2 linked regions of the Kluyveromyces lactis genome follow. The protein of the gene in region 2 interacts with the protein of the main gene of each other region in a pairwise test. Links are inferred from orthologs where the notes say so. Each region holds a gene or a part of one and is shown on either strand. Other genes may lie near its edges.

What was found.
Region 1: the proteins of URB2 (region 2) and RSA3 interact in binary tests that used the Saccharomyces cerevisiae proteins (3 or more experiments, as listed by UniProt). The link is inferred for Kluyveromyces lactis from reciprocal best matches to the Saccharomyces cerevisiae genes URB2 and RSA3.

What each region holds. Positions count from the first base shown.
Region 1 is NC_006042.1:1,219,184-1,234,811, forward strand, and holds RSA3 (Rsa3p), read left to right. Parts: upstream 1-7,778; coding exon 7,779-8,390; downstream 8,391-15,628. Other genes in the region: KLLA0_F13200g (survival factor 1 family protein), read left to right, coding at 1-743; KLLA0_F13222g (uncharacterized protein), read left to right, coding at 1,496-4,450; U3 snoRNA-associated protein UTP13, read left to right, coding at 4,995-7,439; CCC1 (Ccc1p), read right to left, coding at 8,645-9,556; HTB1 (histone H2B), read right to left, coding at 10,436-10,834; HTA1 (histone H2A), read left to right, coding at 11,561-11,953; MSC3 (Msc3p), read right to left, coding at 12,436-14,394; adenylate kinase ADK1, read left to right, coding at 15,406-15,628. UniProt on the Saccharomyces cerevisiae protein: Required for efficient biogenesis of the 60S ribosomal subunit.
Region 2 is NC_006041.1:2,001,312-2,018,466, reverse strand, and holds URB2 (ribosome biogenesis protein URB2), read right to left. Parts: upstream 14,665-17,155; coding exon 11,230-14,664; downstream 1-11,229. Other genes in the region: DNA-dependent ATPase RAD26, read left to right, coding at 1-219; KLLA0_E22595g (uncharacterized protein), read left to right, coding at 499-2,529; ubiquinol--cytochrome-c reductase catalytic subunit RIP1, read right to left, coding at 3,654-4,295; putative E3 ubiquitin-protein ligase HUL4, read right to left, coding at 5,047-7,467; RNA binding protein SNU13, read right to left, coding at 7,925-8,305; GEF1 (Gef1p), read left to right, coding at 8,910-11,180; NUP85 (Nup85p), read left to right, coding at 15,289-17,155.

The sequences.
Region 1 (15,628 bases), on a different chromosome or scaffold from region 2:
AATCAAGGATAGGCACATTAAGTGTCGAAGGTCAAACGGAAGAGTTGTCCATCAGTTTAGATGTGAATATAGGCAAGGGATTCAAGATCAAACCCGATGGTAGGAGTTTCTTCTCGAGAGTTCCCATGAGGGGCAACCCAAACGTCGACAGGTGTATCAGACATGTATTTGCTCCGAATTGTACTGGATCAGGGCATATAGTGGTGAACTCGAAAAAGATAAAATTTCACTCAGTACCTATGGTCCTCATCACTGCATTGCAAGGCCTTAAACCTAACAGCGCTGCCAAATCGTGGAATTTCGCTGCTTTCATGTCACCTAGACGGACAATTTTATGTATGGAGTTTACAACGCCAAAAGAATACGGTGAACAAACAGTGACCATATCGTCGGACACAAACAAGATAACCTCATCACAGCGCATATATTGCGGTATACAGGATAAACATAAGCATGTGAAACATTTTGGGCTAACACTGGATCCCAAGACCGGAGTAGAGTATCCAAACATCGTAGAGATTCCGTTACCCAAAAAAGACGGTGAACTATGCCCCACGTTACTATTGGGGCCCTTAAATCTAATCAATGTGTACGATATATTACAAGAGATGCCCACGGTATTGAAAGGCATTGTGGAAAAGGTGGAAGGAATCAACCCATATCTATATCAGTTCTGTCAAAGAACCGAGGTAGATGACGAACGTGCAATATCACTTGTAGAAACAACATTTATAAGTCCATAGATCCAATTCAGATAAATTTAAAAAATGATTAACAGAGTGAATAGATGCGAGTCGTCATTAATCCCAGACATCTGATCTCCCATATCCAAGAGTCAAACGTCAAACGTCAAACGTCAAATTACGTATCTTGGCAATCTTCAAACACAGCAGAACATTACCCGGTACAACAAAAGAAATTTTTTTCCTCATTATCTTCTCAACCAATTTTCATAGGAAAACAGAGAAATAAAAAGTAAACTTAGAGCTCATCTCAAGAAATTGGGACTAGAATAAAATAGTGTGTAAAAAAAGCAGAGAATAACCTTGTTTCTGTCTTTGTCTCTGTCTTTGATCAAATCAGAGTTTCTCCTACCAACGCTGGCTGTAAAGATAGTGGAAAATTTTACGTATCTAGGTTAGAAGTGCAGTAAGATCAGGAATATTCAGGAATAGATTTCCCTGCTCTTCGGTTTTTTTTTTTTTGGTTTCATTCTACTAGTCGTTTATCTGCGAAGAGAAAGGATAAGGAATAAGGAATAAAGATTTGAATTGTGTGTGATCCCAGGACACTTACTGTTGATTAGCTAGTTATTAAAGATTGTGTTGAACTGGATAAAACGTTTTATAACCTAGAAATTTTTTTTTTCTTTTGGTTTTCTTTTTATTAAATTGTTGAGCCTATTGATTTGATCCAGGTGCATATAGAAAAGTCCACTAAAGAGTAGAATACCATTATTGCAGCTGCTAATTGCAACTGATAACACATATATATTATGTCAGGTAAAAGCCCGAGGAAGTTAACTAGTGGGAAGAAGCCTACGACTCTGAAAGCGTTACAGGATAAAATGGGAAATAAGAAGGATAAGCCTCCGCATTTAAGTTCTAGACCGAGACGTTTCAGTCTAATATATTCTAGTGATTCGTCGCTGAGTGATATACCACAGGATTCGAACAGCAGGGGCTCGAATTTGTCCAAGTTACCGTTATATAAGAATCCCAAAGCCGGAACTAAGCTAAAAGGTCGATCTTCGAATGCGATGGGTAAGAACGGAAAGCTGATATCAACGAATCAGGACTCAGCCATCACATCAGGTTCGGACAGTGCTACAGCGTCTTCAGACTACCAGTCTCTCTCGGAGGATGAAGGAGGTACAATGGCAGTAGATGATGACGATGATGATGATGATGATGATGATGATGATGATGACGATGACGATGATGACGATGATGATAGCGACAGTTCGAGTACTAGTTCAGACGATGACGTGGATTTTGTGAGACTTACTGCGGAACGTAAGAAAAACGCAATGAAACAGCTGAACGCTTTGAAGAGGGGCAAGACACCTGCAGAAACTGTCGTCAGTAACAGCAACAATAAAGGTAATAGTAAACAGGGTGGATTTCCTAATAGGGCTCAGCAGAATCGTGAAGCTTCGGATTCGAATGATGAGGACATTTCAAGCTCTGAACTATCAGATGCTCCTGAACTGTCATTCAATTTCAAAGGCGACGATGGGATCAAGTTCGGTGATGCTTCAGTAGCCTCCAAGAAGGCTGATGAAGATTTAGGTGAGGAAGTCAAGGATAAAGATGTGAAACAACCTTTAGATTCCATTAAACCAAATGTCGATAGATTGGCGGTACCGAAATTTTCAGATAGTGAGGATTCAGATTATAATATCGATCAAGAGGCATATTTCAAGACCATTGATGATGATAACGAAAATATTACCGGTATAGATAACGGCCTTGAGACTGGTGATGACGATATGGCTATTCTGGATGTTGAAGAACAGAATATGGTTAAACAGCTTGAACGTGATGATCATTCTTCTTTCGATGATTCGCAGGTGGAATCAAAGTATAGAGATGGGAAACCCAGAAATGACGACGATGATTACGAATACGACGAGGACGATGAAGATGATGCAATCATGAGTGATTTCGATATGCCCTTTTATGAAGATCCCAAGTTTTCCAATCTGTATTACTATGATGGCAGCGACCAACCCTTAACTTTAAGCACATCTTTACCGTTAGTGTTAAGCGAAGAGAAGCGTAAGAGGGAAGAGCGTAAGCAATTAAAACAGCGGGAAAGGCAGGAGAGGTTGAAAAGAAGAATGACTTCCAAGAAGTCTAAACGTGAACATTCTGCTACTCCAGATCTTGCAGAAGATGAGTACGTATTTGGGTTATTTTTCCAAAGCGATGACGAGAAACCTAAAGTTACCAATGACCTTGAATCTCCTTTGCGTAGGCTCAGTACCGTGGCAGTATCTGATAAAGAGCTTTCATCTGGAGATGAAGAGTACGAAGATATTCTATTAGATATCGCCCACCTCCCTACAGATGAAGAGGATGAAAATGGCTTGGAGCTAGACGAAGTCGAAAACTCAGATGGTGAAGATGACTTTGAAGAAGATGATGACGATATGAGTGTCACCAACGTTTTCATTGATATTGATGATCTCGATCCAGATGGCTTCTACTTTCATTACGATTCGTTATCAGATGAGGAAGCTGGAGAAGCTAAGAGCTATCCTGACACTCCAGATGACCATGTGGAAGGTGTCATCTTTGTAGATGACGAATCCACTGATGAAGATGACACTTTACCACCTCCAAATACAAGACGCAAAATTGGGACTAAGGCAAAAGAAGTCGTTAGTGCCAACGTTGTTGGTTTGAAGCCTCCGAAACTTGGAACTTGGCAGACAGATAACAAGCCCTTTAGTATCATTGATGGCCTTTCCACTAAATCTTTGTATCCTGCTATTCCGCCAGTTCAACAAATTTTAGATCCAAGAATTGAAGTCGAAGACGTTTCATCACATAATGGTATCGGATCAGGAGGCGAAAAAGAGGAACTAACCCTTAACGAATTGTTGAATATGAGTGAGCTTGAAGATGAAAACAATGAAGATGGCGCTGACTCGAATTCTAAGAATAAAGAGATTGCCACCTGGTATCACAAACCATCTGTTCCATTATCTGCTTTCAGAAATAAAGGCATCAACTTCGAACATCAAGAAGACGAATACATGCTTCCTGTGTTTTCAGCACGCAAGTTCCCAATTGGTTACGTTGGTAGTGAAAGGACTAGAAGGAAGATCGATAAGATGAAGGAATACCAAAGAAAGAAAGATGAAAAGCGACGGAAGATAAAGAAGAAAAAGAAGCTCTTGAAAATCAGAAGGGAAAGGCAAAGAATTGAAAAGCAAAAATTGCTCACTGCTCCTGAACAAGAAACTGAAACTGAACCCAACGCAGATTCTCACAACAACATTCAAACTCCCTCTAGCGTGAATTTGGCTAGTCCAAGTTCAAGTGTTTTCACCGATGCAGATGCTGGAAACACACCTAATGATTTCAACGGTCTGGTTTTACCAACGAGGAAGAATTCTGTGAAGGGATTAGGAATGGATGAAATTGATCAACTGCTGAAATCTGATGATGATTTAATACTTTCTCATCATGGAGATGAAGATGGAGATATTGATCTATTAGGCAGTGACGATGCAGATCTCCTGGTTTCTCTGACTGCCCCGATTGAAGAAATTGATTTTAACCATGAACAAATGAGCCATGTTGCCGCATGGAGAAGAAGAAACAGTATCGCCGAAGCTGCTGCTGAACATATGAGAGTAACCAAGAATGGACTTTTCAGTGAGACGGCGCTAGCTGATCTGGAGGAAATCATCGGAGGATCAACAGAACTCCCAAGTTAACCCTCATTTTCACTTCCTTTGATTTTATTTTTTATTCCTTGGTTTTACCACTGCTGCTGATGCGAAACTACTCGACTAAAGCATAACCATAAACTACAATTATCTGTATTCTACCTACTACACTTTCTTGGATATAATCTACATAGATATCATTCTGTGAAGCTCTATTCAGCTTCACCATTTTTTCCGTAAGAGGAGTGTTGTACTTCTCTCATAAATCAACAATTAACTTTAAAATCATATCCATTAGAATATTAGCAAATATTTAGCAAATATGTGTAAGTGCAAATAAACATTGTCTAAAGACCGTTCCCGGTTTTCAGCTCCTTTGTATATGTTCAATCTCTTTCTGTTTCAAGCATATGATAACCCATGCCTCATTGTCTACGTTTTTTTCTTTTTTTTGTTCAATTCGAATGTTGAAAAGTTTAATTCATCTCATCTCATCTCATCGCATCACAGAAATATGCTAGGTGAACCAATAAGATTATACCTGGCCAATTATTAGCACCCAGGACAGCACCTTGGATCTCCCACTCGCACAATGGATTTGAGAACTACCTATGCATCCACGAAACTAGAGCCGTTTTATGCTGGTACTGGTGCTATAGCATCTGTTTCTGAAGATGGACGATTATTAGCGACTTCGGTCGTCGATAAAATCAACATTGTTAGCTTAGATAGCCCACGCCGAGTGTTGCATTCTGTTGATACTGAGGATGAACAAGACATCACCGCATTGCATTTAACTCCAGATGGTTCTTATTTGTGTTTTGTCTCACAAGCGCAGTTGCTCAGAGTGTATTCTTTGAAACAAGAAAGAATTATCAGATCAATGAAGATTTCGTCACCGGTGTACGTCATGAATTGCGATCAAACATCTACACTTTTGGCTATAGGTGGTACTGATGGTAGTGTTAGTGTTATTGATATTGAAAATGGATATGTCACGCACTCTTTGAAAGGACATGGTGCTACCATTTCAAGTGTAAAGTTTCACGGTGAGTTGAACAGTGAAATTTGGAAGCTTGCATCTGGTGATACCAACGGTATGATTAAAGTCTGGGATTTAGTTAAACGTAATTGTCAATGCACTATTCAGGAACATACTACAGCTGTTAGAGGGCTAGATTTCCGTGTCACTGATGAAGAAAAGGGAACGCTGCAGTTATTATCTGGTGGTAGAGACAATATCTTAAATCTCTTCGAGTTTAATTCGACGAAAAAGTATAAGCTACTGAAGACCATCCCTGTCATAGAACAGGTGGAATCGTGTGGATTTACGCAGGACCCGGATGTGGTTTACTCAGCCGGTGGTGGTGCCATTTACCAATTAGTGTCCTTGTCAACAGGAAGAGTATTAAAGAAAACAGCAAAACCTATTGAAGAGCTATTTATTATTGGTACACTATGTATCCTGAACGGAACTAAGCAGTACTTGGTATTTTCAGATCAAACTTTGTTCCTAATAGATGTTGAATCAGCTTTACAATCGGAATCTGAAGTAATTGAAGTGGAAAATAAGATTGCAGGTAATCATGGTACCATTGCAGATATAAGATTCGTTGGTCCAAAACGGGATAAATTAGCATTAGCTACTAACTCTCCTACTCTTAGAATAATTCCAACCCCAACTTCTTCGGAGGAAGAGTTCGAAAATGGGGAGAACAAAGAAACATTTCCTATTGAAGTAAAGATGTACGAGGGTCATACGGATCTACTCAACTCTTTGGATGCCACCGCTGATGGTCTCTGGGTTGCTACAGCATCCAAGGATCACAGCGTTATATTATGGAGATATCATGCAAAGTACGAAGACTTTTATCCATACACTAAATTTGTCGGTCATGTAGGTTCTGTGAATGCTGTTGGACTTCCTAATGTTATGCCACGTTCATGGCCTGAATTCATAATTACAGCTTCTAACGATTTGACCATAAAGAAATGGAAGGTTCCTAAGGTGACATCTGATGAACCCGAAGATCTAATACTTGTTAAGACCTCAGAATATACCAGAAGGGCGCATGAAAAGGATATCAATGCTATCTCCATTTCACCTAATGATTCTCTATTTGCCACGGCTTCATACGATAAGACATGTAAAATATGGAATTTGGATGATGGTGAATTCCAAGCCACATTAGCAAACCACAAACGTGGTCTATGGGACGTTGCATTCTGTCAATATGACAAGTTATTGGCCACATGTTCCGGTGACAAGACCATCAAAATTTGGTCCTTAGAATCATATGCCGTCGTAAAAACTTTGGAAGGACATACCAATGCAGTTCAAAGATGTTCCTTCATAAACAAGAACAAGCAACTGATAAGTACTGGTGCTGATGGTTTAGTTATTATTTGGGATCTATCAACTGGTGAATCGGTCAAGACACTAGATGCTCACAATAACCGTATCTGGGCTCTTGCTGTTATGAACGATGGTGAATCCTTCGTTACAGCAGATGCTGACGGCTTCTTTGAGTTCTGGAGGGATAACAGTGAAGAGGAACACGAACGTAACCTCGAGCAAGAGAAACTGAAGATTGAACAAGAACAATCATTACAAAATTATCTCTCAGAAGGTGACTGGACTAACGCATTTTTGCTTGCCATGACCTTGGATCACCCAATGAGATTGTACAACGTCTTAAGACAAAGTGTAGACAACTCAAATGAGGATCCAAATGTAGTTTTCAACAACGAAATTGACGAGGTTGTGTCGACTCTAGATAAAGATCAACTTCTTCTTTTAGTGAAAAGGTGCAGAGATTGGAATACAAATGCAAGAACACACACAGTAGCCCAAAAGATGATAAGGTGTATTCTTCTAAGACAAAATATTGAAGAGTTGAGCGAAATTCCTGGGCTTGTAAGGATCGTTGAATCAATAATCTCATACGCAGAGAGACATTACTCAAGAATGGATAACTTGGTTCAAGAAAGTTATATCTTAGATTACGCTTTAGTTCAAATGGACAAATTGCTATAAAGAATGTAAATATAGCACTAGTCGTCATGTAGATATATACATATAACAGTACAACACACCCACCGCATCAACTCTGAATAGATACCATATCCAGTCAAGGGCCATCCATCAGTAGAATAATAAGTTTGTTACCCGGCTTTGAGTTTTAGACAGAATTTGTTTCCCTGCAAAAGAAACTTCATCAAATAACTAGACGATGTGAAGCGATGAGATGAGATGAGATGAGATCGGCTCTCATCCTTCTTCTGTTAAAAGGTGACTTCAACTGTGAATTTTTGACAGTTATACTTTAAAGTTAACTCTCCTCCATATTAACGAGAAGCTCTATCGGAAACTATCATGTCAGAGGGACATATTGCAGCTATTAGCAAGACGAACAAGAGGAAGAACAGAAGAAAGAAGAGAAGAACGCAAGACGTGTCCGACTCAAGTTCTGATTCCAGCTCCGATTCTGAAAATTCATCGGTAGAAGATAATGATACTAAGCTCGAAACTGTGGAGAAAGCTGCATCTGATGTTGAAGATGTAACGCTTTCAGATATTGACATGGATAAAGAAGAAGATGAAGCTGCATTGGACGATAAAAAAGCCAGCCGAAAAGAGGGAAGCGTCTTGTCCTCGGAGACTGTGGACAAATTAAATAAAGTGGGACTAACAACAAGCGATTTAACTGGCAACAATGGCATTCATCTAGGGAATATCGATTTGAATAAGATGTCTGCTACGTTAGATGAAAGCAGCAATAAATTGCTAGAGAATAATAAGGACAAGAACGGATTAAAGAATCAATATTTGAGTATGCTATTTGAGAGTTATGGTGATGACATGAACGAATTGAGAAACGCACCAGATTTCACTTCGAAGACCCTTGTCATGCTAGCGAATGTTCTAAAAGACGGAGGAGATATGTTTGATTTGGAGACCTTGAAGACAATAGTAGAGGATAAATAGTGTTTGGATCTATCTAGCATTTTAAAAACACATGTATAATAAAATAAAAATACAAACCATCTATCACGATACAGCTAGAATGAATCAAATAAAGTCTGGACGGCAAATTGATGATTTGGAGTAAGATATGAATACGTATTGGAATGATAAAAAAAAAAGTACGTGATACTAGGGAACGCTTAAAAGAAGAAGTAAAATAAATAAGAGATGATGAGGATGATTATGATTAATTAATTTTGTTTTATTTGTGACTCTCATTCGATGACCTTAACGAAGAACCAAGCTGCACCTGCAGCAGTCCCACCGACTGCTATCATTTGTAAGCCTTCCAGTAACTTTTTCTGCAGGGTACAATCGTTCATTGAGACTTGGGATTTGAAATATCCGAACCAGAACAACGTGAAAGTCATTAATGCAATAGAGATCAGGAGACCGGTTCCCACCGTTTCAACAAAGAAATATGGTATTAACGGGACGAACCCACCGGCAAAGTATCCTCCTCCGATCGTTAGTGCACTAATCCATTGTCTATTATCATCGGGTTCATCTAAACCTCTTCCGTATTTGATAATGAAATCCACCATAAGTTCTGGGTCTCGTTGCATATCTTTCACAAACGATATCACTGTATTTTCCGAGAATTCTGGGTTCATTTCCATTAGTATATCTTCAATTTCATGGTTTATTAGCTGAGTATTGCTATAAAATTTCCTTTTTTCTTGCGACACCTCCGATTTATAGTAATCACTTTCAGATTTAGCACCCAAATAACCACCAAGACCCATAGATATAGCACCAGAGATCAATTCCGCGAACCCACCTGTAATCACCAACTTGGAATCTCCCAACGAGGAAAGACCTGCGGTCAACGCGAAAGGAACCGTCAAACCATCACTGAGTCCGATAATCATATCGGACATAACTCTTGGATCAATCTTACCGAACAATCCAGACGTACCATCATCCTCATTGTCATAATCGTCAAACCCACCTGTATGCTTTGAGGATTCTATATCGCCATCCTGTGGTGAAGCCGAGTATCGATGACTATTCAAATTAGTGGTAGAATTCGAATTGGAATTAGAACTATCGGATGATAGTAATGGAACTTCCTGATTTTTCGCTACGAGTTTTGACACAGCGTTTTTAATTGCAACCACGGACATGTAGTTCTAGTTTCTGAATATGTTATAATATATTGTTATTCTGGTCTTATTTTTACCAAATAGTTAAAATTGTATAGCAGAGCAGTACTGCTGATAAACCAATATCTACAAATAAAACCGTTCTTGTGTTTTGTTCCCCACTTATTCCAGGTTTGTTCCCTTGGTTTCACTTCTCAAAAAATCACCTCAACTTTATTTTCTTTGAAAAACGTCTATGAGAATTCAAATAGATACTGCGAGTGCAAACAAAAACCAACCAACAGCTCAAGCAATGTGTCTGACACTTGTTCCAATATTGTTTCTCTAAAAACTAAATACAGAAAACTGCGAAGAAGTGCTTATAAAAAAGTGAATAAAACGTACAAGCTTTATATAAACTTTGTATAGTAATATATATATATTTACAATGAATTGGGAAAAAAATGAAAAAGATTACGGCTTGGCAAATAGCGCCGCTGGGGCATAGTAGTAAAAGTTTAAATTCCAAATCAATTTGAAATCCGTTATATAACGGTGAGTAGTCCCACGGTTTCCCGTGCCTTTGAAAACCTGTGTTTCTGTGTGGCTGGTAACGTCAGCATTACGCACGGCGATTTCATTGGACGGCAGAGGAAAAAAAGAAGAAAATTTAGTGTCACGTGGGGATGGGAAGCACGTGACAGAAAGTCACGTGGTTTGTCATATATGTAACAACAATACCAAGATGTCTTCGACATCTTGGTATTGCTCTAATACATTGATCAACAGATGCCCGAATGGCCTATTTGTGAAGAAAAAAAATTATATTACACACGTTATACCCAGATAAGATTTTAATTTACATATGGATCCTTTGCAGGATGATGATGATGATAATGATAATGACAACTCGCCTACCGTTTAAGCTTGAGTAGAAGAAGAGTACTTGGTAACAGCTCTGGTACCTTCAGAAACAGCGTGCTTGGCCAATTCACCTGGCAAGATCAATCTGACAGCTGTTTGGATTTCTCTAGCAGAAATAGTAGATTTCTTGTTGTAAGCAGCCAACTTGGAAGATTCAGTAGCGATTCTTTCAAAGATATCGTTAACGAAAGAGTTCAAGATGGACATAGACTTTTGGGAAATACCAGTGTCTGGATGGGTTTGCTTCAAAACCTTGTAGATGTAAGAGGAGTAAGTTTCCTTTCTAGCCTTAGTTCTCTTCTTAGATGGATCGGTAGAAGAGGAAGTCTTCTTAGCAGCTGGCTTCTTTTCAGCTGGAGCCTTGGATGCTGGGGCCTTGGATGCTTTAGCAGACATTATAGTTGTAATATTTGTTTTTAGTAATGTGATAGTACTGGTTTTCAAATAACTAGTGCTTGTCGAGGGTGAATTACAGAACCATATATATTTCTAATAGAAACGGATAATCTATAAGGAGAAAGGGTAAAAGTATCCATTTAGTCAGTCTCTTTATATACAATTTGGTTCTTCGCCATAGTAAAAGCGATTTGCCTTCCTTAAATTGTGTCTTTGGTACTTGTTTTTTTTGTTTTTCACGCTAAAAAGGCATGTCATGACCACAGCTTCGCTGTGGTAAACCGGTTTACTATGGCGGATGGAGATATTCTCCGCGCGTAACCGGTAGCACGGTCTACGAAAAAGTTTCCTTTTTCGGAAACAACCACGGGAGTCCATAGTAAAAGGGAATCCGTTGATTGTTTGAAAAAATGGTTCCTCGACATCTCAAGAGACAATATATTAACATTCCAGGAGTTTCACGGCACAGGTGAAGCTGTGAGAACAGGGGGTTTGTTTTCGCTGCCGCTTTTTCTTTTTTTACTTTTGTTGTGTGAGCGTGTGCTTTGCTCAGTGACACAGTGGCACTACCGTGCCACCGTTTCTTATATAAAGAGGTCACTTCTTGCACTTTCAGTTCCTCTTCTGTTCCTAGTTTAGCTCTTCGTATTGTTTGTTGTTCATCATCACAGATACTACTAAATCAAAAACAACACACAAATCAAACACTATAATACAATATAAAAAATGTCAGGTAAAGGTGGTAAAGCTGGTTCTGCTGCTAAGGCTTCTCAATCTAGATCTGCTAAGGCAGGTTTGACTTTCCCAGTCGGTAGAGTTCACAGATTGTTGAGAAAGGGTAACTACGCTCAAAGAATCGGTTCTGGTGCTCCAGTCTATTTGACTGCCGTTTTGGAATATTTGGCCGCTGAAATCTTGGAATTGGCCGGTAACGCTGCTAGAGACAACAAGAAGACCAGAATCATCCCAAGACATTTGCAATTGGCTATCAGAAACGATGACGAATTGAACAAATTGTTGGGTAACGTGACCATCGCTCAAGGTGGTGTCTTGCCAAACATTCACCAAAACTTGTTGCCAAAGAAATCTTCCAAGGCTAAGGCTTCTCAAGAATTATAATAAGCCTGAGCAAAGGGGGGAAAAAAAAGAATGGAATGCATACAAATTTTATTTTAATATGAAAACAAAATTCATCGGGTCTGTCACTAATATATCTTTCTTATGTTTATTCTGAGTTGGCATTGGCATCATTTTAAACACACAAATTACTTTATCAAACAAGGAGAAATGGGGGGATTCTCTGTTTCATCTCTTTGTATGGGATAGTTATTTTTTATTTGTACTATATTTTAAATATATATATAAACTACTTCATCCTACGTTATGAGGTATATCTTTAATCGTCATGAATTTCGGGTTAGATTACTTTCTTTCAATGACTTTCAATTCTGTCTGTGTTGTTGATTTTGACACATTATTGTCCTTTTCCTGTCTTTTAACATTGAATATTCCCTTGAATGTATTTTAGATTAATTTGGACAAAGTTGTTTTAGATCAAGAAGAGAGTAGAAAAGAAAAATTAATTACTATTAACGGTATAACTATTTAGTGTTGATATGAGTCTTATTAGATTTAAATAACCTTTTGAAGAACGAACCTTTCTCGTTCTTCTTCTTGCTTTTCGTCTTCTCATTGATACGTGGGGTGTTATCGATGGAGGGGGACGAGGCTGGGATCACGTGATCGGGATTGCCTGGTTCGTTTACATCGACAGGAGTAGCAGCAGTGCTAGCTGCTAGCACCGTGGTATCCTCAGTGACGACAACGGGGTTCGCCCCGGATTCGTGTCGAAGCGAAGAAGAAGAACTTGTGTTATTATTGTTATTGTGATTATTGTTATTGTGATTAATATTATGACCACTGGCATTAGTGTCAAAATTGTCAGTTGTTCCATTGGACGGAGCGACGTCCGGTGGTTGTTGAGAATATTGTTTTCCACGGTGTTGTTTTGGTGGTTGATTACCAGAGTTCTCTTGGCTGAACTGGACAACCCTATCGAGTATACTCTTGACTTTTTTCTTTGGATGTCGGCTCTTTTCATTTGTTGGAATCGCCGCAGTAGGTTGTTGCAATTGTTCGTGTTGAATTTGTTCCTCACGCGTGGGCAAGTGCAGTGTGGTCGGGAGCACATGTGGTTGCTCGACATCTGCATCTTCAAGTATCGGTGTCATTTCGTTTCTAGATCCATTGTCTGTACTATGCGAAACTGTTTTTGTAGGATGACCATATTTCTGTTGAGCAATCTCCAATGCTATAGCATACATCTCCTCTTGGCTTAGTGTCTTCTGATCAGATGTAGGAACAGTAGGGACGGCAACTGCTTCATTCCGTTTCTTACTTTTGAATATGGATTTTCTTTTCGTGGCGTTATTGTCCGGTGTAGCTTGATCCGTAGTATCCTTTTCTGGTTCAAGTTGTGCATTGGGAGTATCTCTCAAAGTCATCCTCTTGGACATTGTACTTTTCCTTCCAACTGATTTCGCTTCTGTGTTCTGAACCTGCGATATACCTTGATGTTGAACTTCTTGCTGCTGCTGCACCCCCTGTTTCTGGACCAGGGGTTTTCTTGAAGTGTATGATTTTGAATTGTTATCAACATCAACTTTATTCACTTTTGCCAGGAAATGGTCCTGATCATCTTCCGCAAATGCACCTGATTCTTCAACGACATCTGATGCGTCAGTGAAGTGCTCTTCCCCTTCCTCTTCCGAATCACTTCTGATGTTATTCGCAGCTGAGTTATTTATAGCATTCGAGTTGAAATTGGCCAATCTCTGGTTTGTCCGTGGTTGCGATTCGGATAACGGAGCAGCAGGAGGAGTGGCGGACAGCTCATCGGAGATTGGGAACTCATCATTTTCAGCAAACTGCTGGAAATGAAACTGAGGGTCTTCAACCAGCCCAGCAGTTTGCGTGGTAGTTTCCACGTATTCCATCCCGTTGATCCTTCTTATAGTCTGCGTCGTGATCGATTGCGTTCTGCCCATCATATCTTTAACCTCTTGTGTCTTGATGATAATAGATCCGTTACCACCTCCAGCAAATGAACCGGTCCTTGAACCAACCCTGGCTACTGAACCAGTCATAGAACCAGTTCTACTGCCAACACCACGACTGGAAGCTGTACCTGTTCGTGGTATGGCAGAAACAGACCTTCTATTCCCGACATTACCGGTTCGAGGAGCGTATGCTCCACGAGCAGTAAAACTGTAACTTCTAGGAATATAAGACGATTGCTGTTGCTGCTGTCCAGGATGACCCATCCGGAGACTGTTAGCTCTTGATATATTTGTATAGCCTCTTTCTGGATAATTCACCAGGGATCCAGCCCTTGCACTAGCAGCAAAGGCCGCATCTGCAGAAAGCTCGTGGCTCTTAAGGTAATTATCACCCTGATTTACAGAATTACCACCGCTACCATTGTAATGATAGTCATACCTGGATAAGTCTGGAACCCTAGTGGCTTTTCTCCTGTTTCCTAAATTCATACCAAATACCATTGTTGAGGATTTCGATGTATACTGTTCAGTATAGCACTTTGACCAGAGAAGAATAGTGATATAAGCCGAGCAGCGAAAAGGGTATAATTAAGCTTCCTCAAATTTCGCTATTTAAAGGTATATTATATATATGTCCGTATTTATATACATGCTTCTTTGTTTATATCAATGCATCCTTTATTATTATTCTGTGATTTATGTTCCATTTTTCACTTATGGAACAATCGAAATTTGCTATCTCTGCGAATTTATATCGAGAAACGGTTAGAAACGGCTGTACAAGAAAGCAAGGAAACCAGGGTGTTTGCTTCGAGACAGAAAGGAGTAGACGCAATATGGGACCTGATTCAAAATAGCAGTCTGTTGCAAAGGACATTCAGACAGGTTTACGATGGACAAGTTTACCAGGTAAGGGTACGATGTTTTGGTCCGTTCGGAATATGAACGCACACAAGATATATATGTATGTATACAGTCACGTGATTATTTATAAACCACGTGACACAGACCAAATCACATTTGGGGCTGTCATCAACGACGTACAAAGTGATGAATTCTCTCTCCAACTCACTCAGCTCAATTACGCGTGCCACTGGCCTCGAAACGTGTGATGTTCGTACTTGTATCAATGACGACCTCTCTGAGGTCGTCATACATAACTATCCAAAACTGAATTCCACTCGTAACCGCATTTCCCCCTTCTCTCTTGGATCAATGGAGTCACTTTTTTCATTCCAGCATGATAATTTCAACATCAAAATTATATAAGTATGAAAAAAAAGTTGATGATAATTTGAACGAAGAACTATATTCCATGTTTAACCTGAACTTGAAATGTTATAAGAATTTCTGACACGTTTTGTTTTCTTGCGTGATTGCTTCAATGCAAGAGTATATTAGTATATTATATATCTTGATTAAATTTTTATGAATTATTTTCTTGTACTTTAATTTCAGGTATATCCTCAACGATCAGTAGAGTCATAAAACTACAAATATAAGTAACCAGCGATGTCCCAAGATTTGTCCCATGTTCCAGAATCCATCAGAATGGTCTTGATTGGCCCACCAGGTGCTGGTAAGGGTACCCAGGCTCCTAACTTGACCGAAAGATTCTGTGCTTGTCATTTGGCTACCGGTGACATGTTAAGATCTCAAGTCGCCAAGCAAACTCCATTGGGTATTGAAGCCAAGAAGATTATGGACGATGGTAAGTTGGTCTCTGACGAAATCA
Region 2 (17,155 bases):
GAGAAGAGCGCCGAGGTACTCAAAGCGTCCATTGAAAAATATCTATCTCAGTCACCAGGGTTTGCGAGCAAATCAGCAGATCTAGTGATTAGAGTCGGATTACAGCTAACAAACTCAACCGACGTAGAACGTGTTCGGAAAATCTTAAAAGATGTCGCAGTATTTGATAAGTTAAAGAAAGTTTGGGTACTTAAATCAGCTAATAGAGATACCGATTAAACATTTACCTTTGTAGCACCCTTGAATTCTCTTCTATCTATGCTGGCTTCCTCATTCAGATTGAGTGAAATTTCTGTCACAAATGCGGGTAACGAAAGATATTTTTTTTCTTTTTGATGCCACTGACACAAAAGATCATACAGCATTGGATGTAATATGTGGCGCTCGATACACCAGCTCGAGCAGCTTCTGTATATAAACCTAGTATTTCGAGACATCAAGCCGAAAAAAGTGCCAAAAAAAATAGCATAGCTCTTCTATGCTTTTCTTAGAAATTCAATGGCATCATCCTCTTTGGGCACTGGTCAGAGTACCACCAGTAAAAATATAATACTTTGTTTTGATGGAACGGATAATACTTTCGGCCCCAACCCCTTCAGCAATGTATTGAAGCTTTATCGGATGCTTGATGGCTCTGATTATGAAAGGCAGATTTGTTATTACCAACCAGGCATCGGTAGTTCGTTGGAGTATGATGCACAAGCTGGTTTTGGTGGTTTGGTTACTTGGAAGAAATTGAAGACGGCTATTGATTCTGCTGTTGCCTACAGTTTGGATCATCATATTATGACTGCTTACCTGTATTTAATGCACCACTACGAACCCGGAGACAAAATATTTATGTTCGGGTTCAGCAGAGGTGCGTTCATAGCAAGGGTACTAGCTGGAATGCTGGAAATGGTTGGACTTCTAAACGTTGGACTAGATGAAATGATATGGATGGCTTGGAAAATATATGAAGCCTGGGAATACGCTGCACAGCCCGTACAACCGAGTTATGCGACTACTTTGGTGGATGAATTTAAGAAAACGTTTTCAAGAAATATTGAGATCGAAATACATTTTCAAGGCCTCTTTGATTCGGTGAATTCTTGTGGTATACTTTTAGATCGGCTCTTTCCCTATACAGCTAGGAGCGGCATCGTTCGTCACATCAGACATGCGGTTAGCATTGACGAAAGAAGAGGGAAGTTCAAACAACAGTCGTTTTCCCCTAATCCTTATAGACCAAATTTATTTTCGTTGAACTATAGAAATTATGTCATAGAATATGAGAATGTTGCCCCGAAAACAAACTATCACAGTACCAGTAACCAATTTATAAATCATACCATTGGCTCAAGACCTAATTCATCACAATCACAATCTAGTAAGTCCGTACAAGAACTAATATCCCGAATCAACAATTTCCTAGAGCTGGAACATTCCCAAAGAACAGATAATTTCGTGAACCAGAGAGTTGAAGGTATATTCGAGGTGGACTCTCCCCATGGTACTTTTGATAGTAAAAGGACATCATCGGATCTAATAGAGAAGTGGTTTCCAGGCGATCACTCAGATATTGGTGGGAGTTGGCCACCGGATATCACTGAGAAAAATCATTTTTTAAGTGATATGTCTCTAAGATGGATTCTCTCAGAAGCGATCAAATCCGGAGTACTTTTTAAAAAAGGAATCATCCATGAATTTGCTGGCAAATATACATCTGCTGGAAGCTTATTGTCAGCATCGCACGATCTTTTGAGTTTCAAAAAGAGCAATCTTACTATGAAAAACCCATTTCACAAAAAAGAGACTAATGAATATGATGAAGATCAAATTAATAGATACCACGGCTTCAAACTGCCATCAAAGAGAAGTTGGTTACCGTGGCGTCATAAAACAGAGAACGTTTACTTCAGAACGTTTAACTGGAAAACGGAATCACCATCTAGTTGTTCTGATCTTGAGCAAGGTTTTGATACTGATGAACCAGGGAAGGACATCGGTCGTCAAAAAAAAAATGATGGAAGTGGAAATGTGAGTATCTTTAGGGTGATTTTTTGGTGGATTGCTGAATTGATTCCAATAGGAATAAGAATCGAAAACGAAAAGTGTGAATGGAAAAACGTTTACGTGCCAAATTTTGGTAGAAGACGGAATATACCTGAATATGGCGAACTTCATTGGTCAGTTTACTGGAGGATAAAGCTTGTCAACGATTACAAACCGAAGAATTTGCCAGATTATTGCGTAGATTTAATTGAGCAGCATGAAAAGATATCCCTTCCAAAGAGGAAGAACGGTGAAACGAAGAAGAAAGTTATGGTCAGATCTTCGTTGACTTCATCTTTGATATCATACCCTGGACTTGATTCAGAACCATTGCTGCCTCCTGATAGTGTCAATGACGGGTGCAATTGTCAGAAAAGGGATATCAACAAAATAAGAAAAGAGATGTGTGATATGCTAACCGAATGGGATCGAGAAAATTGGCAGCGAATTCCAGATGATCTTGAAAGCTTGTTAGAAGCTAACCCAGAACTTTAGTCTACAAACAGCACTGGATTTTTCAAGGGTTCCCAATTTTCGGCGTTCAAATGGATTAAATTTGTTCATTTCTTTTAAAAGAGTATGTGGGGAATATACATATACATATAATATATAATCTTGGCATCGTTAACAGAGTATATAAATAACAGGAAACAAACCTTAATATGATAAAAAATTTGAATCCCTAGAGAGAAAGGTAATCTCAATTTAAATTAATTGTTCGTCAATTTCTCTATTCTTATGGTAAAATATTTTGGTTGGAAGAGATTTTTTTAGGTTTTTATGGTTTGGGTTAACAGTTTTTGAGACATCTTAAGAGTATAGGATTGATTAATTGAATTTATTTTTCTCGTGATTAGCGGGAAAATAGGCAAATTAAAAGCGAAATAATGACATCCCATTGCAATACCAATGCATTGTTCCTAGGCCTAAATCTCGTTGAAAAAGGGAAATCAAAGGTTAAAGTTACTATTGACAGATTAATCCAATACTCCCGCTTTTCTTTAAATACGTGTCTGACCTTTTATGGAAAAGAAGGCGATACAACATTAAGCGATTCAGATTGTAGGTATAACCATGCATCGGGTAGAGCAGGACTATTTCAAAGATTTTGGAATATAATAAAAGGGTTTCAATCACGGTAGTAGCCTGATGTGGTCATTCAGGTATTAATGCGATTGTTTCTCAGTGCAGTTAAAAGGAAAAGTGATGACATACAATTGAACAATGCTTCAAAAGCATTTCATGCTTGCTATCCTTTTAGTTTGCTTGAGCTATGGGGGCACGGGTAGTTGTGGTTTCAAAAATGTTTGTATGAATAAATAATAATAAATCGGGTAGTGATGATGGAACGTGAAAAAACGAGCTTACACGATTCCAATATGACAAACTTTAGCATAAAAGATATTGACCTTGGTTGTGAATCCTACTTGGAAAATACATGGGGGGAGTAGGAGACATCAACATGGGAATAAAGAATTTTATTAGTGAAAGCTGGAGTGAGAAGGACAAAGAGAAAGAGAAAAAGGAAGAGAGTTAAATTTGAGAAATAGCAAAAAAAGGTAGCCTATTTCAACAATTTATCAACATAATATAATCTTTTTTTAGCTTTCCTTCTGCGCTTAACCGACAATCAAGTTTTCACCATCGAATTCATATTGAGGGATTTCCAAGTTCAATGGAGCTGGACCCTTTCTGATTCTACCGGAGATATCGTAATGGGAACCGTGACATGGACAGAACCAACCACCGAAATCACCAGATTCACCGATAGGAACACAACCCAAATGAGTACAGATACCCAACATGACTAACCATTCTGGCTTTTGAACTCTGTCAGAATCAGTTTGAGGATCCTTCAAAGCTGACATATCAACACTGTTAGCTTCTTGAATCTCATGGTCGGTTCTGTGTCTGATGAAAACTGGCTTACCTTGCCATTTCACAACGACATTTTTACCTTCTGGAATAGCAGCCAAGTTGACTTCGACCTTAGCCATAGCCAAAACATCTGCAGATGCAGACATAGAAGCGATGAAAGTTTCAACGGTGGATTTGGCACCGGCAGAGGACAACAAACCTAAAGAACCAACCATAAAGTAAGCATAAGAACGACCTTTGTCAGCATCGTTATTCTCCTTGATATAGTCTCCGAAATCTGGAGTTCTGTAAGTAGACTTGGCAGCAACTGCAGAAGTAGAAATTAATCTGGCTGGAGCAACAGACTTCAAACCAGTCTTCAAACCGTTTCTTAAACCCAACATTTTTGATATTAGTTAGTTATGGATATATCGCTAGAGTGTATTATTCGTACTAATTTCCCGTTCTTATTTCGGAGAAATCGTTTCTATGATATCGACTTTAATCACAACAGCAAAGCACTCTCGGAGTATCAATAAATATATACACAGATATGAATCACCAAGCCAGATTATAAAATATATATATCAATGCAAAAATGTTGTTGGAACTGAAAGTAATAATAAAATGATTGTACTAAATCTTTTTCTATTTTATTTTATTCAGAGAAATTATCAAATTATCTCTATCCATATTAAACAGAAGCCATTGCAGCTTAATAAGTGCGGAAGGAAGCAAAAAAAAAAAAAACAAAGAAAAATTTCAGATTGGGAAAAAAGCCAATAGTAAGAAGCGCTAAAGGATTAAACAAGATATAATTCGACCAGACAGGAATGGACAGTGTAAATGAGCTGGGACGAGGCAGAACTTCCTGGTGTGGTTATTATTTTCCAATTTACAAGTATACAATTTTATTTGCGTAAATGGTCAAGTATAGGAAGATTTTCTTGGTGGAAATGATAACTGACACTAGGGCCTTTGGGCCTAGTGTCAGTAAAACGCTTCGCATTTAACGGCTTTCACATAGTAGCTGTAAGTGTCCATTTCCTTGTGTTTTCTGGTTATTCAAGGGAAGCAGGTTTTTCTGTAAAGCCTGGTTCACGATATGATTGGTTCGTTTGTAGTGATTATATTAATGTATGTTTGTTGCTGACATTATTTAAACCCATAACCCTCATACATTTCGAGGGCAGTCACCAATCGCAGAAGAAGAGTATCACGTGACTCATATTCGTACAAGCAGAGTTCGTTGAAACAGGTATGGGCAGTGGGCAACTGATCATGTGATCCGGACGTTGTGCGGGTTACCTTGAACGGAAGCGTCGCAAGTCCCGTCACTGGAACTCTGTCACTCCCAGTCACGAAATGGAGAAATTGACGTTGCTGTTCATGGGATAATTGTGGTAGTATTTCCCATAGCCATTCCACTACCGGGGTTTGGTTATGGAATCCGCCTTGGTATTTCGTCACAGCGCGAAGTTGTTCGAAATCCATGTCTTGTTCTATGCTGCCACAGATGAGCCTTTCTACTTCACAACTTTTGAACATCGGGAAAGCCAAACCATCCCCGATGACTCTTGTAAACCCGGATTGGAATGCACTAAAACTCGATGAGACCCCCTCATTCATATAAAAATTTACCCACCTTTCAACAAACTCTGTCTTATTCTCCGAGGTTACTGGGATTGATTCTCCTCCGTCACATAACGGTTTCGTGACGTTGATACCACTGGCTACATCGTAATACGTGGTCTCAAACGACAATCCAAATATATCACTAAAATCTAGTTCCGAATAACTCAACATTTTCTTTAAATTTCTTGCTGTCTCAGGGTACAACTCCTCATAATCTTCAAAAGTGATCCGCTCATTGCATAGTTTCTTGTACATGGCCCTCGCAAAATGTAAGTCCAATATAGTACTGTTATATATTGCAAGACCTAACACTACTCCAAACAAATAGTATAGTTCATTGTTGTTCTCTCCATGAAGCTTAAGACCGGTGTTCCCATATGCAAACCAAGATAATCGGCTTTCTTCCACGTATTGAAATAGTCCATGGTTTGGATGAAACAATTCCCTAGTCAATAAAAGGAACCATTCTTTCTTTAAACCGCCAGCATCGATTCCAGGCTCATTCGAGAACTCCACTCTTAGGGATTTTTTCAAATCATGTGGATGTCGTTGAATGGACGTTAGCGAATCCTGTGTCACATGGCTTCGTCTTACCTTTATTCGGAAATGTACATCGTAAAGTTTACGAGAGTCCAACGCCTTTAAGAACGCTTGCTCAGCGTTATGTTCCATCATTTTCCCAGTTTCGAACTCCATTATGGCTATCTTAACGCCTAAGGACATCAAAAAAGGGTACTGGCATAAGGCAGTATAGTGCGTTTCATGTAACTGTGTCATGGATAAATCGTCAAGGGTCCTCCATTGCTCTCTATTCATCTTATGCCACATCATAAAATCACGTTTGTAATCAATGAAATCAATTATCATATTGTAAAAAACCGAGATGTCACATTTTGGCTGTTCACAATGAGCTTGAAAGTATATGTTCATTAGCTGACACACCGTGCGAATATGCCAGTCAAGTCCGTATTTTTCAATTCTGAACCTGCTCTCTAACGGTATCTTTTGCCTTCCGGGGTGGAAAAGATAAGATACAGTTCCATCTTTGGTTTCATCCACAGGCGATGATTCAGTTAACAACGTTCCTGATAATCCTCGTGGTGAATGCGGCGGACCGGGTCCTATTTTCTGGAACTGATAACTCAAATACAAGTTTAAAATTTCCCATTGCTTTTGAAATTTCAATGGATGTAAACGAACTAAGTGATTCTTATATTTCACCGAAACTTTACTATTCATTGACCCCAAGTAACCAATACATCTTTTTAATATTTCGTAACTTAAAGTCTTAATCTTGGGTGTTCTAGAAATTGTAGTACTGTTGTTAATACATTGCCTTAAAGAAGGTACCTCCAAGATGAAAAAAATGAATAAATAGTGCTCCCATTTATCCATTAGGATCTTTGGCCTTTTCAAAACCTCATTAAAGACACGTAAAATGAGATAAATGGGTCTTTTGGTAGGCAATGAGCCTATCAAATTATAAAATGTCACTGCTTTTTCGTAGTTTATAATTTGATCTTTAACAGTTGGTTTGAATAATTGATTCAAAGCTTCCGCTGTACCGAATTTTTGAACAATGTATTTTTCCACAGGAATGAAGTAGCTGTTAAGCTCTTTAGCGGGGGTCTCATCTCCTGTCTGATCTTTCTTATACGATTCGAGACATTGACCAACTATATTGGATAACTGTTCAAGGTCCGGCAGTATCTTGCCCTCAGTATCCCTAGAATTTGCTGTTTGTCTCAAAACAACAGTCACCTCACATATTGTACATTTGAACTTAACTGCGTCTATAGGATGTCGTAACAAGGTTCCGCAACATCTACATCGAGTTTCCCTAAATTTTGGCGGGTCTTCACAATCCAACCTATCCGAACTTTGATAGCGGATTTTTATCTTTTCCCTACCAACAATGTGTAATGGGTTAAACTTGAACATATTCGAGCAGCTACTGATGGACAGTCAGACTTCTTCCTCTAAGTTCATTTCAACAAACTTGTAAATTTAGGGTTGGATAGTCGAAAGCACAAAAGATTGTGTCAAATTTATTACTTTTTTTTACCAACTGACAATATCATCTGGAATACACAGGCCTGTAACCATTTCTTAATTTGAACAGACAAAAAAAAACTATGTACTGACCACTAACTAGAACCATCAGATGTTGATGTCATTGTTAAGAAGGATGCAAATGTATCAAAAAGTTGTATTAATTGTAATATATATGTTTAATATACAGAGGTCGTAAAAAAAAAATCTACCTGTCGATCACTTGAATCAATGAACGTGCAGTAAATCTTTTCTTTGCTATGCAAACCCCCCACAAAGCGGTTAACTCCTTAAACGATTGATATAAAGAATAAGAAAAGGAAATCACGAAATGTGCAAATCCTTCTTAAATCAACAAAGTTTCAATCTTGTCCTTAACGGCATAGATTTGGCTTTTGATAGCAGAAGCATCGTTAGTGGTAATAGAAGCAGCAATAACTGGTCTGGAAACACCACAAGCTCTACCCAAAGCAGTTCTGGATGGAACAAAGACGTATGGAACGTTCTTATCTTCACACAACAATGGCAAGTGCAACAAGATTTCAATAGGTTCACAGTCAGCAGCCATGATAATGAATTCGGAAATACCACGGTTCAAAGTCTTGGTAGCTTCGTTAGCACCCTTCTTCAATTGTCTCATGTTGGAAGCTTGTTGAACAACATCCAAGATTTGTTGGGACAAGGTGGCATCAGCCAATGGGAAAGCCTTTGGGTTTGGAGCAGACATTATTTCTTTATAATATGAAGTGAAGTATCCGATTGGGTCAGTTCAAGTTCCTTGCAAGAATGAAAAGCTCGCTTGAATCTGGTGTTTTAAGACTAGAAATAAGATCGGATCAAGTCCAAGTCTAAAAAAAGTTTTATCATAAAGTGAGATGAGATGGAACGAGATGAGATGAGGTTAGTCTCTTGAAATCATTTTCTTTAGTTTTTCAATTTTTGAAAATTTTCGAATTCCTCGACTGATGAGCAAAAAGAAACAAATGGGATCACAAACTGGTGTAATGTACGGCTGTTTCACTATATTAATTCAGAAGAACGATATACATTCCTCCTATTGTGATCATTTGGCCATTCTCCGCCATTGCTATAGTACTCTATTATGGTCTAAAACACGCAGTCTGTAGTTGTTGTTCCCCATCGTATGCTTCATACTTCCCCAGGAAGAGCTGCTTTCACTCTCAGTTCTTTACCTAATTTCAAAGGTGCATATTTCTTTGTATTGAAAAATGTACGTATTACAATATGTAAATTTATCAACTCATTTATGAATAAACTCATAGTATTGCCCTTGACTTAGGTATGACCCAATTGATGAGCAATAGCTAGCTATGACTGACCAAGAGGTAAATGAGGAGCAGGCTCTGCGAAATATACCAGAAGTCGGTAATTTCGATAAGTTCACTTCTGTGGATTGGATTGAGGAAGAGAAGCGTGAATTGTCCAAGGGAACATCGCATGACGAATTTGATATACCGCGTTCGAGTTGGTATGAGTACCGCAGGTTAATATGGAAAAGAGGTAGCAGTTTCATTACTTTGACTGCCATTGGGCTTTCCATTGGCGGTATTGCTGGTTTTTTACAAATATTCACTGAATTGTTAGTAAACTGGAAATCTGGACATTGTGCTAGAAATTGGTTGTTAAACAAGGCATTCTGCTGTCCTAAAGAAGAGATCAGTAAAAGGAGTTATGGTTCCATAATAAGTTCGGCTGGCAATGCCGCAGAAATATTCTTTAAAAGATCCCAAAGCGAATGTATCGAAAAAGGTATTTGGGTAGAAGCAACCAATCCAATCTTTTCATTTTTGCTATTCATGTTCTTATCGGTCACATTTGCAACTATTAGTTGTCTGATGGTCCTACACATTGCACCGTTTGCCACTGGATCTGGTATTTCAGAAATTAAATCCTGGGTATCAGGTTTCCAATATACCCCGGAGTTTTTGAATTTGAAGACCCTTATAGTAAAATCTGTCGCTTTACCGCTTGCCATTTCTTCTGATTTAAGTGTTGGTAAAGAGGGACCATCTGTTCACTATGCTACCTGTTGTGGTTATGTAATTACTAATTGGCTCTTGAGCAAGGAGATGGCCTTCCCAGAACAATCCGAATACTTGACAGCTTCGACGGCAGGTGGTGTTGCAGTAGCTTTTGGTGCACCTATTGGAGGTGTCTTATTTGCACTTGAAGAGATGTCAGCTTCTATTCCTTTCAAGTTATCTGCCTTGTGGAAGTCGTATTATATTGCTCTGGCAGGTATTTCTGCTCTACAATATATTGATCCATCTAGAAATGGTAAGATCGTTGTTTTTGAAGTCACCTATGATAGAGAATGGCATGTGGAAGAAATCCCAATATTCATCCTTCTTGGAATTTTTGGTGGTTTATATGGCAAATACATAAGCAGATGGAATGTGCATTACGTTTCTTTTAGAAAGAAATATCTCTCAAGATGGCCGTTACAGGAAGTTGTCATACTAACGTTTGTTACTGCCATTATCTCTTATTTCAACGAGTTCTTGAAACTTGACATGACAGAATCTATGGAAATTTTATTTCATGAGTGTCAAACTAATGAGAAAGGATCATTATGGTCGCATAGACTTTGTACAATTGACAACGAGGCCTCATTCATCTCGTTCATCAATTTATTGCTTTCGTTACTCTTTGCAACTGTAGTGCGAGCCCTGCTAATCGTTGCTTCGTACGGCTGTAGAGTACCTGCCGGAATTTTTGTTCCCTCAATGGCTGTTGGTGCAACTTTTGGAAGGGCTGTAAGTTTAATAGTAGAGCGTTATATTACTGGACCAAATGTCATTACACCGGGAACTTATGCTTTCCTTGGTGCAACTGCAGCATTAAGTGGTATAACAAATCTAACTCTAACAGTGGTGGTGATCATGTTTGAGGTCACGGGTGCATTTACGTATATTCTTCCTACCATGGTAGTTGTTGCTTTCACTAGAATTATCTGTTCCTCCTTTGGTGCCGAGGGAGGAATTGCTGACCAAATGATTATAGTTAATGGATTCCCATTGATGGAAGAGCAGAAAGGGGATCACGAATTCATGGATGACTTTTATGCAGATGACATCATGACGAAAGAACTAGTCTACGTGAATGAAAAAATGACTCGTCAAGATCTGCAAAATTTGATAGATGGACCAGCAGCCGAATTTAGCGGTCTTCCGATCACCAGCAGCTGTTCCAAAGGTGATTCGACATGCTCTGGCTTTATATTAACAAAGTACGCTCGCTATTTCTTAGATGCCACTACTGGATCTCCCGACGATATCATTGATTTCAGAAAATGTGGAGATGAATCGTTAACATCAAAAATCAATTATACCCCGATTACTGTTAGTCCGTCTACTCCGTTGAGTATACTTTTCATGATGTTCCAGAAATTGGGCTGCTCAACTATTATAGTAGAGAATGGCGGAACCATGGCCGGATTAGTCACTAAGAAAGATGTCTTGCATTTCATGAGAATTAAACATAAAGAATACTTTGGTCCTCTATATGCGTTTGATGATAGAATTGATAGGAAGGCAATACGACTAATTGAATGGTATATAGATAAATGTAGAAGAACATAACTTTATAAAATGATTAGGACTTTTCAATCATCATGCCATTTGCCACTTTTCAATCATCATGCCATTTGCCACTTTTCTTGTAGTCCGCATGTAATGTCTTGAAATATGATCTGCCGTTACTGTCCAAGCTAGCATTAAGCAAGTTCATTTCAGTCTGCGACAGAAGATCAAAAATAGCGTATACTGCGAGCATCAACTCTTTCTTTATCGTGGTGGGATATGGTTTTGAAACTGATAATTTGATGAATTGTAGAAGAACAACTGGCAGATTCTTTCTTAGCGATCTTTTAACATTAGAAACAGCCGAGGACAATGTCGTCTGCTTACTGCTTCTCACATTTGCAGGCTCACAATAGTTACATATGAATCTTGATACTGCTTTCGCTGATTCAACCGATAGAGCGTATTGCTTAGCATCTGATAGTAACTCCAGTAATTGGCAGATAACAATGTTGATCAAATGAGTACGATTGGATAACTTATAACGATGAAATAATAGCAATGAAGAGAGCATATGTGTGCAGGAAAAAATCAGGTCATTTTTAGAGTATGGAATCTTATTTTTGATCTCTCTCTGATCGGGTGTATCAGCTGCTTTGATTATGTTATCCAAAAGAATCTTGGATGTTAGTGGGAAAAGCATTTCTGAACAGTACTGTGTGAATAAAAACGGTTTGGCCACCAGCAGATCATTCAGAAAGGTAATGAAAGATATAATATCTTTTCTGTCTATAATGCTAGTAGAGTAGTTTGTTAAAAGGTGTGAAATTGATTTGACAAAAATATGCCTTCCACTACTATTCTGTTTTGAAACAAAGTGGATGAATAACTGTAGCAGCTCCAATACTGCTCCGGAGTTGCTTGTTGATAGTACAGGCATAGTATTGCAGATCGTTTCGAATGCTGTATTGAAGTCTTCATCGTTATTAATAATTCTCTTGGATATGTTCAATTTTATTGCCTGTAATAACATCTCTTTAGACACTCCATTTTCTCTTAAGATAAGATACTGCGCTAGAAGATATTCAATATTATCATTGTAATTTAGTGTTGATACCATAAAATATGCCGATTGAACTTCAATGTCAGAAGGAATGGCGGATGCCTTCGAAAATAACGGTGGAACAGGAATTGTTGTTTTAGAGTTACTTGCTTGAATGAACAAAACCTTGAGCAGCCATGCAAGTAATTTGAAATCTCCGTTGAAATGCTGAATATTGTAAATCAAACTATTGATGAACTTAACCTTAAGAGCATCTAAATGCAACCCTGATTCATCGCATGTTTTGAGTACCAGATGCAACAAGGCATAAGTGTTATAATCAAAGGTATGATTCAAATTTGCCTGAATGCTTTGTAATAGAGAATCCATGGATGAAGATGCTTTGTTGTCGTTTCTTTGAAGCAGTGCACTCTGCCAAACGGCTGCAATAACCGGATTTTCCAAGCTATATTTGAAGAATGAATTGCCGACAAACGTGAGCATTGTTTTATAATCGGTTTCTATTTTGCTCCTCGAGGTAGGGTTTTTCAAAACATGACAAAGAACATTTATGTCATCCTCTTTCAAAACATCCTTCTCTATTATTTGGTCTAGGATTGCCAATCTTACAGCCTTATTCAAACATTGAATTGGAATTTCCAATAAATACTTCAGATGAAGGTTAGAATTAACATCGGCTGTCAAGTGAACCACTATCGAACGAACAATGTTAGACTCTTCAAAAAAATCCTCTTCAGCGAATAGCACAGGCAAAATATCGATGTGATTTTGAAGTAGTTTTTCGATCAGGTGTGATATGTTCTTATTTCCGAATGATGAATCGACGAGAGTTGACCAACGCGTTAAAAGGGTCTGTAGAATATTTGATAACTCTGCTGAGTCCAGATTACCAATAAAATTCATAAAAGCTTCAATAACAGGTAAATTTTCAAATGGCTGGAGCTCGTAGAACTTGAATAAGGCGAAAAATAGTTCACTACTATGGTATTTTTTTCCAAGATTGATGAGACCTGATGCGTCGTCAGGATTGAACTTCACAGCGATAGGAAGATCATCATATAGTTCAAGAACGTGATATTTGAGTTGCCAAAATACTGGAGCATTAAAACCCTCTATTTCAAAAAGTTTTGAAAGATAAATCCGAAATTCCAAGCACTGCGCATAAGAGAGCATTTTCAATCCAGAAACTATAACTTGTAAAATATTCACTGAAAAAATATCATTCTCAGAAGCAATAACATCTACTAAATCTGTAATGATTGCACGAGTCTGTGTTACAGATAATGCAGGAACATTATCGGAAAGGACCTTAGTCATTTTCGAATCAGTCAAGAATAATGAAGTGGTGTTTTTCCTACAATATTCTCTCCAGATAGTCAAAAGATTTGTAAATTCTCTGGCATTGACATGACAATTGATAATTGAAGTCCAAATTTCTAGCTCAAAATTAGTGGTCGAAGCGTCCATAGCATTCATTAATTCTTCCGTCTTCAAGATACCAATTTCAATGTCCATTTCGATAATGCTCTTAATTATTTTCCAATCTCTGGACTCAAATACGGAAGTGAATAATGACTCTAAAAACGTCTGTGAAATAATCTTTCTGTAGGCATTGAGTGTAGCCAACAAATCTGCGCATATTGTGACATCAATATCTAACAACATTTTTAAAATGGTTTCCAGAGTAGCGGCATCGCATTTACCTGTTGTAATGCACTTTGTGAAAAGCAAAACCAATAAATCTGGGGAGAGGGAACTTTTATGCAAACCTACAAAAGTTTTCAACGCTGCAGGCAAATCCCTTGTGAATTCAAATAAATACCTTTTTGTAAACTCAGATAATACGTCAAAGATGTTGTCAAACACCTCTTCGTCAGCCTGCTTGAAGTATTTCAAACTCGGTAGCAACAGTTCAGAGCAGTACACACCAGAAACTTTATTAGATACTTCCGTAAAGTTGTTCAAATCAGTAAATGTCAAAATTTCTGAAATTATTGCTTGCTTCAGGAAGTTCTCACGACCAAAGTCACAGGAAAGTACGATATCTATGACTCTACCTAAAAGCTTAAGACCTGCTTCCGGAGAGACTGCGGTAATCATACAAGAATTAACAGATTTCAGTACCTCATATACATGCTCACAAAGCTCATGGTCACCGTCCTGCATCTCTTCAAATGTTAGTTGAATTAAATTTACTGATCTTAGATTCCTCAATAATTTTTTCTTATGATTCTCAGACGAAACCATAACCCATAGCTGTTTCCATAACTTCCAAATGTTGGTGTCCTTTCTGAACTGTGCCTGTTTAGCATCATTCCATCTGTCAATGATCAATTCTAATATAAAGATATGGCCATTTGGAAAGTATATATCGTATTTCCCATCTAGTACGGAAACCGAAATGTCATAAATCTCTTGTGTAGTGACGTTCTTCGATCTGAGATACCGAGTGATACCTTCTGCAGTATTGGGAAAGGACATTTTGATTTTCTCACCCTTACGAACGTCGTTCAGAGCTGCTATATCGATATGTAATCTGCTAGGTGATCTCGTTTTACCTCATCTCATCTCATCTCATCTCATCGCTACTTTTAATGTTTGAAAATTGATGTTCAGTAAAATTTGACAATAAGAAATTATACGCAGTTCATTACGGAAGAAAAAGTATAAAGAAAGATGATTTAAGGAGCACTTGGAGATCTCTGATGCGCTTTTTGGCACATGCTGATCTACCGGCATATAAATTTATCATTTAGAGGGGCAACCCATAGCTATACTCGCTGGTTCAGTAGATAAATGTTGGAAGTTCAAGAAGGATAGATGGAATTTCATATGTGGTGTACGGGTGTAACAAGCATCAAATTTTTCTAAGAGATTCGTATATATCACTTTTAGGATATATTTTGAATATTGCAATCAGTAAACATTGAGAGAAAATGAGAATATAGAGACCAATTACGCTCCAAATCATTAAAGGAGTTACGTTCAATCGCTGGATTGGGATTTGTACTGACTGTTAATATAATTTTCTTTTTTGAAACCTTGAGTTAAACTGAAATTTGCGGTTTAATCGCGTGTTTTCACCAAAGAATCATAGCAGTAACAATGGCTAACGATGAATTCGCCGACACACAGGACCTATTAATGGATGTCGATAACCTAGACTTTTTGGACGAAGAAGGTATCAGCAATGAAAGTGATGATGATATTAATCTAACAATCAATGTTGACCCTGTCAGCAATGCACCAATGGTGAACTTCCCTATTGAGCAACCCTCGGCCAAAGAATTACGCTTCAAATACAACAACGTTTCGTCCCGAAGCCTTGCTTTTGATAACTCTACGAAAGATAATAAACTATATCCTGTAAGATTTCTACATTTAGATGAATCTAAAGAATTTGCCCAATATGTATCAAAACTTTTTGAGTTGTATCAGGGATTAGGAGAACATCGCAAGAACGATGTACCGACCATAGGGCTAATAAAACAAACTTCAAGACTCGAACACTTCTCGATAGTTAATTTAGCATTTCATGCCTTGGTTACAGAACTAGAGTTCTACATTGAATCCATCAAATACACGAATAAGCTGCAACGAATTGGAGATCTTGAGGAATGTTTGAGCATACTAAATTGCTTGAAGACAATTTACTTTTTAACTGACTCTCCGGAATACAAACAAGAGGACCTTCTAGAGTCTTTGATCAATTGGGTGAACAGATCAGATGGTGAACCAAGTGAGCTGGTTATTCAAAAGATCTTTGATGAAACCCTTCTGACGCGAAGAAAAGTCTATGAACAATCTGATTTTTGGGACCTAACGGCACAGCTTCTTTTGAGAGGCTTATGGTCTCAGAGTATCCAATGCATTCAAAATTCTCAACTGCTGGAACATGGAAATGAAACAGTGGGAGTATTTGTCACTGATTTGATTACAATCATTGAGAGTTACCCACTTCATTCTGAAAATTTATTCCGTGAATGGAAGAATAGCGTACTCCAATTAATGACAAATTGGGATGAACAAGAGGTTGAACCTGAAATCAAGAAGAATTTGATGAACATCTTCATGATTTTAAGTGGTTCTAAAAATAAAATCTGTGAATTCTCACAGTATTGGTACGAATCGTACTGTGGATTGATGTTGTACTATATACCAACTTTGGAATTGAGTCAAGAATATGGACAATTAGCTACTAAACATAATGCCATCGATGTTTGCAATAACTGGGAAACGCCGTGTTATCACATTATCAATGACAAAGTTGCTGATGTGTTACCGATTCTTGAATCCTTAGACCTTGCAACTGCTGCTTTTGTAGCGGTATTGTGCGAAGCTAAAGGAATTATAAAAACTGACTTCTACGAAATTTTTGCTCATAAAAGTGGATTGAACTCAGAACTTGCATTTGAAAATGAACCAACCATTGGAGAATTTTTAATTCGCCAAGTTGCTCTTTCTTTATGCTCGTATGATGATAAAACGCTGTGGCCAGTTTCAGTGGGATTAATTTCTTTATCTTCAGATTCAGGTGACTCTTCTAAAAGAGCAATCTTAGCAGAACTATTACCACACTTTCCATATACTACAAATGATGATATTGAATGGCTTCTTTCGGTATGCGCTAAGTGGAGGTTGCCGGATGTGGCTAAGACTATTTATAAGATCTTGGGACAGGATACACTATACCAGAATAATATTGTGGAAGCAATGAGCAATTTTAGTAAAGCTGGAGAATATGAGTGGGTCAAACATTATTCATGGATGATCTTTGAAGCCAGTATCCTACAAGGGGGGCCATTGGATGATATTACTATAAATTCTATTGTCAATGGGGATACAGACTCTTTCAATATTCCGAAAGATTTGCTAAACAGTATGGTAACTGACGTAATGAGACAGACTCTATCTCCATATGCTGTTTTGTATGAATTCCACAAACTTGCCGAAAATAATGAAACGGAGAAAG